Daphnia pulex: one gene and its partner. The protein of the gene in region 1 interacts with the protein of each later gene in a pairwise test. Links are inferred from orthologs where the notes say so. Each region holds a gene or a part of one and is shown on either strand. Other genes may lie near its edges.

Evidence for each region. The genes of interacting proteins can lie anywhere in the genome.
Region 2: the proteins of huntingtin-like (region 1) and abscission/NoCut checkpoint regulator-like interact in binary tests that used the Homo sapiens proteins (3 or more experiments, as listed by UniProt). The link is inferred for Daphnia pulex from reciprocal best matches to the Homo sapiens genes HTT and ZFYVE19.

Annotation. Positions count from the first base shown.
Region 1 is NC_060020.1:1,046,399-1,051,786, reverse strand, and holds the end of huntingtin-like, read right to left. Parts: coding exon 5,260-5,388; intron 5,198-5,259; coding exon 4,959-5,197; intron 4,891-4,958; coding exon 4,720-4,890; intron 4,654-4,719; coding exon 4,424-4,653; intron 4,362-4,423; coding exon 4,257-4,361; intron 4,202-4,256; coding exon 4,012-4,201; intron 3,932-4,011; coding exon 3,613-3,931; intron 3,552-3,612; coding exon 3,431-3,551; intron 3,371-3,430; coding exon 3,185-3,370; intron 3,119-3,184; coding exon 2,995-3,118; intron 2,934-2,994; coding exon 2,815-2,933; intron 2,745-2,814; coding exon 2,513-2,744; intron 2,446-2,512; coding exon 2,248-2,445; intron 2,185-2,247; coding exon 1,997-2,184; intron 1,928-1,996; coding exon 1,741-1,927; intron 1,678-1,740; coding exon 1,530-1,677; intron 1,467-1,529; coding exon 1,382-1,466; intron 1,307-1,381; coding exon 1,144-1,306; intron 1,070-1,143; coding exon 903-1,069; intron 819-902; coding exon 731-818; intron 651-730; and 3 more.
Region 2 is NC_060026.1:13,058,967-13,062,246, forward strand, and holds abscission/NoCut checkpoint regulator-like, read right to left. Parts: upstream 2,099-3,280; 5' UTR 2,063-2,098; coding exon 2,015-2,062; intron 1,953-2,014; coding exon 1,840-1,952; intron 1,771-1,839; coding exon 1,702-1,770; intron 1,642-1,701; coding exon 1,272-1,641; intron 1,205-1,271; coding exon 1,098-1,204; intron 1,040-1,097; coding exon 697-1,039; 3' UTR 511-696; downstream 1-510. Other genes in the region: uncharacterized protein LOC124204257, read right to left, coding at 1-25, 82-510. UniProt on the Homo sapiens protein: Key regulator of abscission step in cytokinesis: part of the cytokinesis checkpoint, a process required to delay abscission to prevent both premature resolution of intercellular chromosome bridges and accumulation of DNA damage.

The DNA.
Region 1 (5,388 bases):
ACGACCGTTATCGTACGTCGCATCTAGGCGTAACTTCACTTTCGTGCAGCAGAGAAACAATAAAAATTTAAAAAAGTTGATTGATTCACGATGACACAACACAGCTCGAACTCGGCGAATTGGAAGAGGAGAGGAAGAAGAGTATTTAGAATTCATATCTTTTCCCTTCTTGTTCTCTGTATTTGTTAATTATATTGTTGGATTATTTCCTATTTCTTGAGAGAACCTCGCAACCCAACCCAATGGGATGCCAGGTTGCCACTTGCCAGCATGGCATATCATCTCGAAGGATGAAGATAATGAATAGGAGGAGCAGTAACACAAATGATAATTTTTATACCATCTATAAAGGGGAAAACATTAAATTTAGATGAATATAGGAACTGAAAATTTCATTGCAACAATATAGAATATTAGAATATAGCGTAACTTTTAAGGACAGGAGGATACATCTAAGTAACTATGCAATTTAATCGGGTGATTCATTCGTTCATATTTTATGCGTGTTTTGAAAACACGAGACTCAATATTAGCATCCCCGATGGGAATCACAAGCGTTTTAGGGCAACATCAACAGCGGCAAAAAATGAACTTTTTTCTCTCGCAGAATAAAAGATAGAAACTAATGTGGATCGCTGTTGATCATCAAGCTGAAAATATACAAAAAAAGTAGGCAACTATAGATGAATCATTTAAAATTAGATTTAAATTATTCTTGCTCGTCAAATACCTGAGAGTTGAAATCCAGCGCAGATGCAACAAATACGTCTTCCACTAAAGAATCGTTATGATTTACCGGGCGGTTTATGAGAGGAAACCTAAAAGAATCAGCAGCAATAGCATAGTAAATTTTTCGAATGCCGAAACTGTGAAAGATTTAAGACGAACGATGAATGACTTACACTGACTGCAACCATGGGTTGTTGGAGGCTGCGGTGAAAAAACATAAAATATTCCAGATCGAATCATTCGCTGTGTCGCTAGGCGTCCTGGTAAAATTGCTGAGGCTTAAGAGAATCCACTCCATGACTAAACTTTGTTGTCCTTGAGTACGTGCCGTTCCAAAAACCTGAATGAATTAACCAGAGAGTAAACATCTTGGCAGTTGACAATGCCACACAAATTCTACGTTCCACGACTTACTTTGAAAATGGTTGGAGTTAAACAACAGGCAACTGTGGGTCTTGCCGTTATAAATTCACTTAAAATACGATTCAAGATGTCTGCTGGTGGGAAAATATCACAGGTTATGACGGGCATAATTCGCCCCAAAAGCTCCGCCTCTAGATCTGTTCCGCGCTTCATTCTGAGGAAATGGAAAATTAAGAAACAGATACAAATTAATAACTAAGTAAACAAGAATCATCTTATTCAGCTTTACCGTTGGAACAGGGCGCCCACCCATTCCATAGCGGCGAGCATCGTTTCAGGATCTGCTCCAGGTTTATACAATTGGCTACCAAAATCTTGAAAAAGTAAATATTGGTTTGAGAGGAGTGAAAAAACAGAGTCAGCATGAAACCCTATACCTGAATAGACTAATGACAGCAGAGTTCGTAGTGCTGGCTGTAGAATCCAATCACAATCAACATTGCGTATTAAATTGAGAACCTCTTTTTTAACTTGCGTTCGCCAAATCGGAGTCAATACGCCTAGAATGCTCAGCCGTTCTAATCCCTATAACGAATCAATAACGAGATTAGCCTACAACATAAGATCTTCAATAAATTCACGAAATACCTGTAAAATTTCTTTTGGGATCTCGTTTGATTGTTGTTCGTTTTGCACAAGCCTACTAAGAGCGCACTGAACAACAAAATCGACGACAGCATAATTCTGATAGGGCAATACTGCAAAATGTTCGCCGCAATAGAACGCTATTGACCAAACGAAGGACTGATGCCAGGTCGGACCATTGTGTTCAGGGCTTAATATGATATTTCAAATAAATAAACAGACAAATTTCTTTAAACGTAAAGAGATGAATCACACCAACCTGAGACATTTACCGACATAATCCATAGCCAGGTTGACGAGAGTGCCTGTACGAGCAAGATCTGGATTTCTGGCAAACTTTTGAAGTAGATACAAAAGACCATTTAATCCACTAGTTCGCGTGGAAATATGCTGGGAATTCAATGCGGTTTCACAGTGCTTTTTTACTAATTCCCAGTATTCCATATTCTGAGACATGAAAAAATAACAATACATTATCACAAAACTTCAGATTTCAGATGAATTTTGTACCATGGGTATAAAAGAAGCAGATTTCAAGATGCACCCTACTAAAGCGGACTCTAAGCTCGCAGGATCATCAGGAAGAAGTTGCCTGTGTAAGGTTAAGGAGTTATCCAGCATCCACTCAAACTGTTGAACATCGACAAAGAAGTTTGATATGTGCACTAGGGATTGAAACAAGTCCACTAGCAGCGGGTACGGCGTATTCTTGAGAAAAAAAAAGAAAATGTTGAAGAAAAATATCATTATTTTCTACATAGAAGATTAAGGTTACCGAATTCTGAAGCCACTGTGAGTAGAGATCCACTAAGAAGCGAACACAGGATTGGATATCTATATCTGTAACATCTTCGGGACTAGTAGCCTTCTTTTTGGATGGTGAACCTTGATCAATATTATATTGAATGTGTCTGAAGGAGTGACGATTGAGCCAATAACTGCAGGAAGATGATATCGTGTAATCTTCTTCTAGCAAATTGCAGAGTTCTTTCAGCTTCTTGCCCCTTCTACAATATCCATTAAAAATATTGACAATTAGCTATAATTAAGCGAGATTAAATAACACATTGGCTTTACTCAGTTGACGTGAACTCAGGAGGCTTGTCTAGTTCATTATTTTTCACAGATCTTGGCGTCTTAAATGGTAGATTTTTTTGAAGCACCATTGTAAGAGCTCGCACGGCTTCACATGTAGCCTTTGAATTCAAATGGTTTTTCAAAAATTGTAAGAAAAAATTACCAACTCTGTTATGATACCTGGATGACGCTTGCTTGTTCTTCGGGTCTCACTTGATCCTCATTGTGTAAGTTCAAAATGCCAAGAAAAGTCATCCAAATTTCTTCAAATTTCTTTTTGGTAATCCAGCTAATTTGCTCGATTCTTTAAGAATAAGTAAGCAGTCAGCATGATCCAAGATCCATTTATAAGAAAATGTCCCAAAATTACCGGAAAACGAATTCTTTTAAAACAACTTCATCATGCAGAAAATGTGAAGGGATTATTGGTAGATCCAATGTGATATGTTCGACATCCAAATTTAGCTCAGGATTCCAGCCTTTGCTCCAAGCGGATGGCGGAATGCAAATATAGGAATAGAAGAGTGGCATTCGACAAAACACAGTAACAGTCGACCTGAAAATAGTAGAAAAATCTTAATGAATTGATTTATCAATATTCAGAAATACAATTTACAGTAAGTCTTGATGAAGTATTCCTGGAATGTTTGATTCTTGTTCGATAAATCTAAGTATTCGGTTTAATTGTTTCGCACTCGAAACAAAGTTTGGATCAGGACAAATCATTTGCTCCAGGCCTAAATGAAAATTCGTTCGTTATCAAATCTTCAACTAAAGAAGACAATTTAGGATATTTACCGGTAATAGTAGGTTGTTCTAGAGTTGCATTGTTTCTTATCCGAATGCAAAGAGACTCCAAACAATGGATTGCCTTGTAAACAGCCGGTAGATTCTCTTTGTCTGTCCATTCAATTGCAAGTTCACGCCCAAATATGGAAACAATCTCAGAGGACGCCTGTAGAAGAACTAACGAATGGGAAAGCGAATCCATCGCACCAATTAAGGTAAGCGGTGTTTTAGCCAATATGGTGATTTCGGATGCAGTGAAAATATCGTTGACCTCCGATGGTGAGATGGATTTGCACAATGCACTGAGAATATGAGCGATTGACAGGATCTAATGGAAAAAAATGAGATGCTCATTTCATAAAAAGATAAAACCGTTCAAAAAATTAATAGCATCCGAAATCGGCGTACCTTAGAGTTGTCGAAGGCTTCGGCGGTAATCATATTTAAAAGGTATGCCTTGGCATGGTAAAAAGCATCATATTTCAATATTCGACTTCCAAGGACATATAAAAGGAAACTATGATTGCTGCACAATAACGGAAAGTCGTCTGTGTTTGTCTGAGCGACGATTTCTCTCCACATTAAAGGTTCTAACTCCCTAAATTATGAAGACGATTTAGCAAGATAAAACCAGAAAATAATTTTTAAACCACCTTTTCAACGCAAAATCCAGCACAAACGCCTTGTCGATATCTCGCAACATGCTAGACCTATTTTCAAAGGTAGCGCTTGGAACTGCTGTGATCTCGGAATACCATCTAAAAAAGAAAATTGAAGATGTCATAAAACGTAGGATAGTAGGTGGGCGAGTGCCAAGAACCTTTGATTAGCTGACTGAAGAACGATTTTTTGTACATTTTCCAAACAACGAAGCTTAGATTCAGAAGAAGTGAAATTTGCGTTTAGAACAAGTTTGCACATTCTTCTGTGCACAATGCCACTGGAAATTGTCTGAAAACTGGAAATGATATGTAAAAGAATCGCTTCCGAATTCGCAACAAGCTCGACATTCTCTATTATATTCAAAAGAGCCATGGCCGAGGATATCTGCTAATTTGTGAGAAAAACAAAATTTATAAATAGTCACTTAATCCGCTGATCAGTATGATATTTTACCAATAAATCTTGGCCTTTCGCCAGCACACACTTCACAAGTGGTTGAACGTATTTCTCATCATTATGAATAAGGCTTCCAAAAAACTTCTTCACAGGTGTTTCATTGAAGTGATTTAAGATTTGGTCTGCATACAAGCTAACGAACTTCAAGATTTTTTTTTCTTCTTTAGGCTAAAAGTAGATAATAGTCATCTGAGTCGGAAGATAATTTACAATTTAAGAAAGTTTTTCGAGCGTACCACCACACCGGAGAGCAATAGAAAAAGTCCTTCTTGCGCAATACTTCCGTTAAGTCCACCAAAAGAAGCAATATTTTCGGATTGGATGTGATAATTTTCCGACAATAACAAAGCGCAAATCCGCACAAAAACTATCGGATTATTGGGAATCAATTCCCTTGCTACTTGAAATAGAGGAGACTTACACTCGTCACGCGCCAATTCTGCAAGAATGGCGGTCTGCAGCACTGGGAAATCATCTATTAAACAAAATATTAGCTTTTTAAAAATTTTGAAACAGTAGATAACATGATTTACTAACTTGAGTTTAATAAGCGACGACACAAGGCAATCAAGTCCAGTACTAAATGGACGGAAAATGAGAAACCATCAATTCTCCACGATATGGAGGTAGAGCCACAATTATCAACAACCACTTTACTTTTCCAAT
Region 2 (3,280 bases), on another chromosome or scaffold:
TGAACGGGAAGCGCCAATCTGCAATCTACAAATGAAACACAAATTAACATCAAATTCAATTAAATAAGTGTGAAATTTTACCTCGTTAGATGAACAACGTCCCCAACAAGAAGTGACGGTGACGACATCCCAGCAGGAGCGTCCCTCGGAATCCTCTTGATAGACTTTGAAAGTGTACGGACGCCGGAAGCAGGTCGGAGTAGCATCCATCTGCTCCTTGGACTGAGAGTCTGGCTGCTCGAACATGGCCGAATTGAGACGGAAGCTGTTGGCCATCAAAACGGCCAAGAGAAAGATCCTTTGGAATAGGTAAGTATTAGCCATGGTGCAACACCGCAAAACGGGAAACAGAACAATCGACAAGAACTTGCGGGATGCGTCTGGCCAAGGATCGACAAATCCTTCGAACTCGACTTTTTTCCCACCTACGACTTTCGGTCTGCGTACTACACCGGCGCGGTTGCGCATAGCTTTTTTTCTTTTAAACCACATAGAAGCGATCAGCTTCATCTTTTTATTGGTTGAGAAAAAAGCCTTTGATACATTCACTTGACAAATAGTTATCACAGAAAAATTACAAGAAAATAAAGTTAAGCATGGAGAAAGGCTTTTTTAAAAAAGGCAATCAAAATATACTACCAGAACCAGAAGGAAGGAATATTGAAAAAAAAAGACTAGGAATTAGTGAATGTGTGATTATTTTTTGGGAGCTTTGTAGTTCTCGGTACGGTGATGTTTAAGATCGGCGTCTTTGTGGATTTCTTTCCAGCAACGACGGCAGTAGAGATCCCCGTCGCAGTCAAAGCATCGCAAATGAGCATCTCCGTTGCAGAGCTCACACCAGGGCAATTCTTCTTGGCCAGCAGCTACTCCTTCATCGCATATTCCTTCGTCTTCCAATTCCAAACGGTCTTCATCCAAGACTCGATTGATAATCCTGGCCGCTTGTTTGTCTTCGTCTTCAGAGTCTTCGTCACTCGATTTGTCTTCCTTAGCTTCTGGTTTTTTAGTTCCCCTATCGAATCGGAGTTTGTTCAATCTAAACACAAAAATTGGATAAGTAAAAAATGATTGAGTTGTATTAGAATTCAAAAAACCTTTCTTGGATTTCTCTATCTTTCTTCAGGCCTTCCAAAGCCAATTGAGCATCAGCCTGTATTGCCTGGGCTTCATTTTGCAACAACATCTCAACATCATCTGTCTGCTAACATGAAAAATTGTTAGAAAGTCTCAAAATAAATCTGATAAATTTACAGAAATAATAGTTTTACCTCTTCTGATTGATTGGATGGAGTTGCAGAAGGAAGGTCTGATTGCCTGTCAATTGCAACTTCTTCTCTGATCTGGTTGATAAGATCTGTTGCATCATCGACATTGTTTGTTTTTGGTTTGACATAAATGGCTGCTGGTTTCCGGTAAACTTCAGGATCAATGCCCTTCAGTTTAGCTAAGCGTTCTTCAATCTCTGACTGGCTGGGGATGTCTCCCTTCATCTCCCGAATCTCACTCTTGAGCTTGGATAGACGATTTACAAGCTGTTGATCTTCAAAAGATAACCCTTTTTTCAGGTTGGTCATTCGGCTGTCTTCGGTGTAAACTACAATTGGACTTTTGTTGGGGTTCTCCAGTTTTTCCAACTTCCTAAGGAACAAGTTCTGGTCAATAAAGAAACATTAAATGATATTCTTATTTGAATCATACTGTTCCAAGACAACAGGAGGAATTTGAGTGACTTGATTTTGGTGGGGGGTTTCTACTTTTCCATTTTTCCTGTACAACAAACAAAAATATTAAAAGCTGTATGATGATTCAACAAAAGTCTTCGTTGTTTCATCATACTCTTGCGAAACAACGGGTGGTGGTACAGCTGACTGTTTGACAAAGCAGCTCTTACAGATTTTCTTGACAAGACATTTCGAGCAGAACGAAAATCCGCATTTTTCACAGCCATACTGAAATAATCAAAGTTTATTGATTAGAGAGTTAATCTAAGCACATACTTTTTTTCGCTTACTTCTTTTGTTAAAAACCCAAAGCTACGAGCACAGCCATGGCACGACATTGTTGTTGACAAACGTTTGATTAGTTTTTTAGTTATTTACCGTGACACCGATGCCAACTTTGACTATTATTCTCTCATGCAGTCATGCTAAAACGGGATATTTCAAAATAATTTAACAAAATGAAAATTCAACATTTTGTTTTAAAAATAAAAGAAAGGAGTTTGTTTGGAAATTCTGGATTCATTTTTATTCGTTGAATTTTTGTCTAGTAAATATGTGAGTTTTACCGTTAGATAAGTGCGTTAAGGTAACTAATTTATGATTGATAGACCCCTACAATCCGTTTCAGGTGAACTAGTGTGATTGATGAGTCAGTACATTTTTCAAGCAAACATTTCTTGTAGATTTTATTCAAGACTTGAACAATTATAGTAATAATATCCTATACTAAGAAAAATGTAATATCAATATCATGAAAACGACTTTATTTTTTCCAACAAGCAACAAAGCTTCAGTGATAAATATTCAATTTGTCATTCATTTTAGATTTTATAGATTTTAGATTTCGGTGCCGGGAAGGATCCCATATTAATGATTTTCAGCATGGCAAATTCATAGGCCCCTGCTTGTGATGGAACACAACAAGAGACCAGAGTTCCTATGCCTCCTAACGTAGTGTCCAAGGTTTGGCCTCCTGCAGCAAAACTAACAAAGAACAGATTGGAGCATTTATAATACCAAATAATCGATAACAGCAAATTTAGACATACCACGGAGCTCCGAGGGCATTACAACCTTACTAGCAAATGCCATAATGGTCCCAGTTAAGATCAATTACAAATCCAAAATGTTTCAATTTCCTTAAAACGAAATCTATAACAAAAGGGGAACAACGTGTAATATTGTAAAGAGCGGTACTTGTAGGGTTTCACGCCGCTGTGACAAAATTGGGTGTAGTTTGGCAGAGCTGCATCAACCAAAAACAAAATATCCAAACATTCAGACAGTCAAAGCCATTTATACAGGACTCGTTCAACGTCGCATAATCGACGTTGTATACGTATTCTGTACGTAATAATTGTTTATCATTTATGTTGATCAACTTCTCGCTAACTTTTTCCAGGTGTTCCTCAAGGATTCACCCGAAACGGTTCTTTGCCAATTAGCAATTTATTCAGAATTAATTAAAAATAAATATCACGAAAACACTGTATTTTCTCCCCAAAAGGCTTCATCAGTGTTACATTGACATTTATTTGATATCTTAAAGATATCTT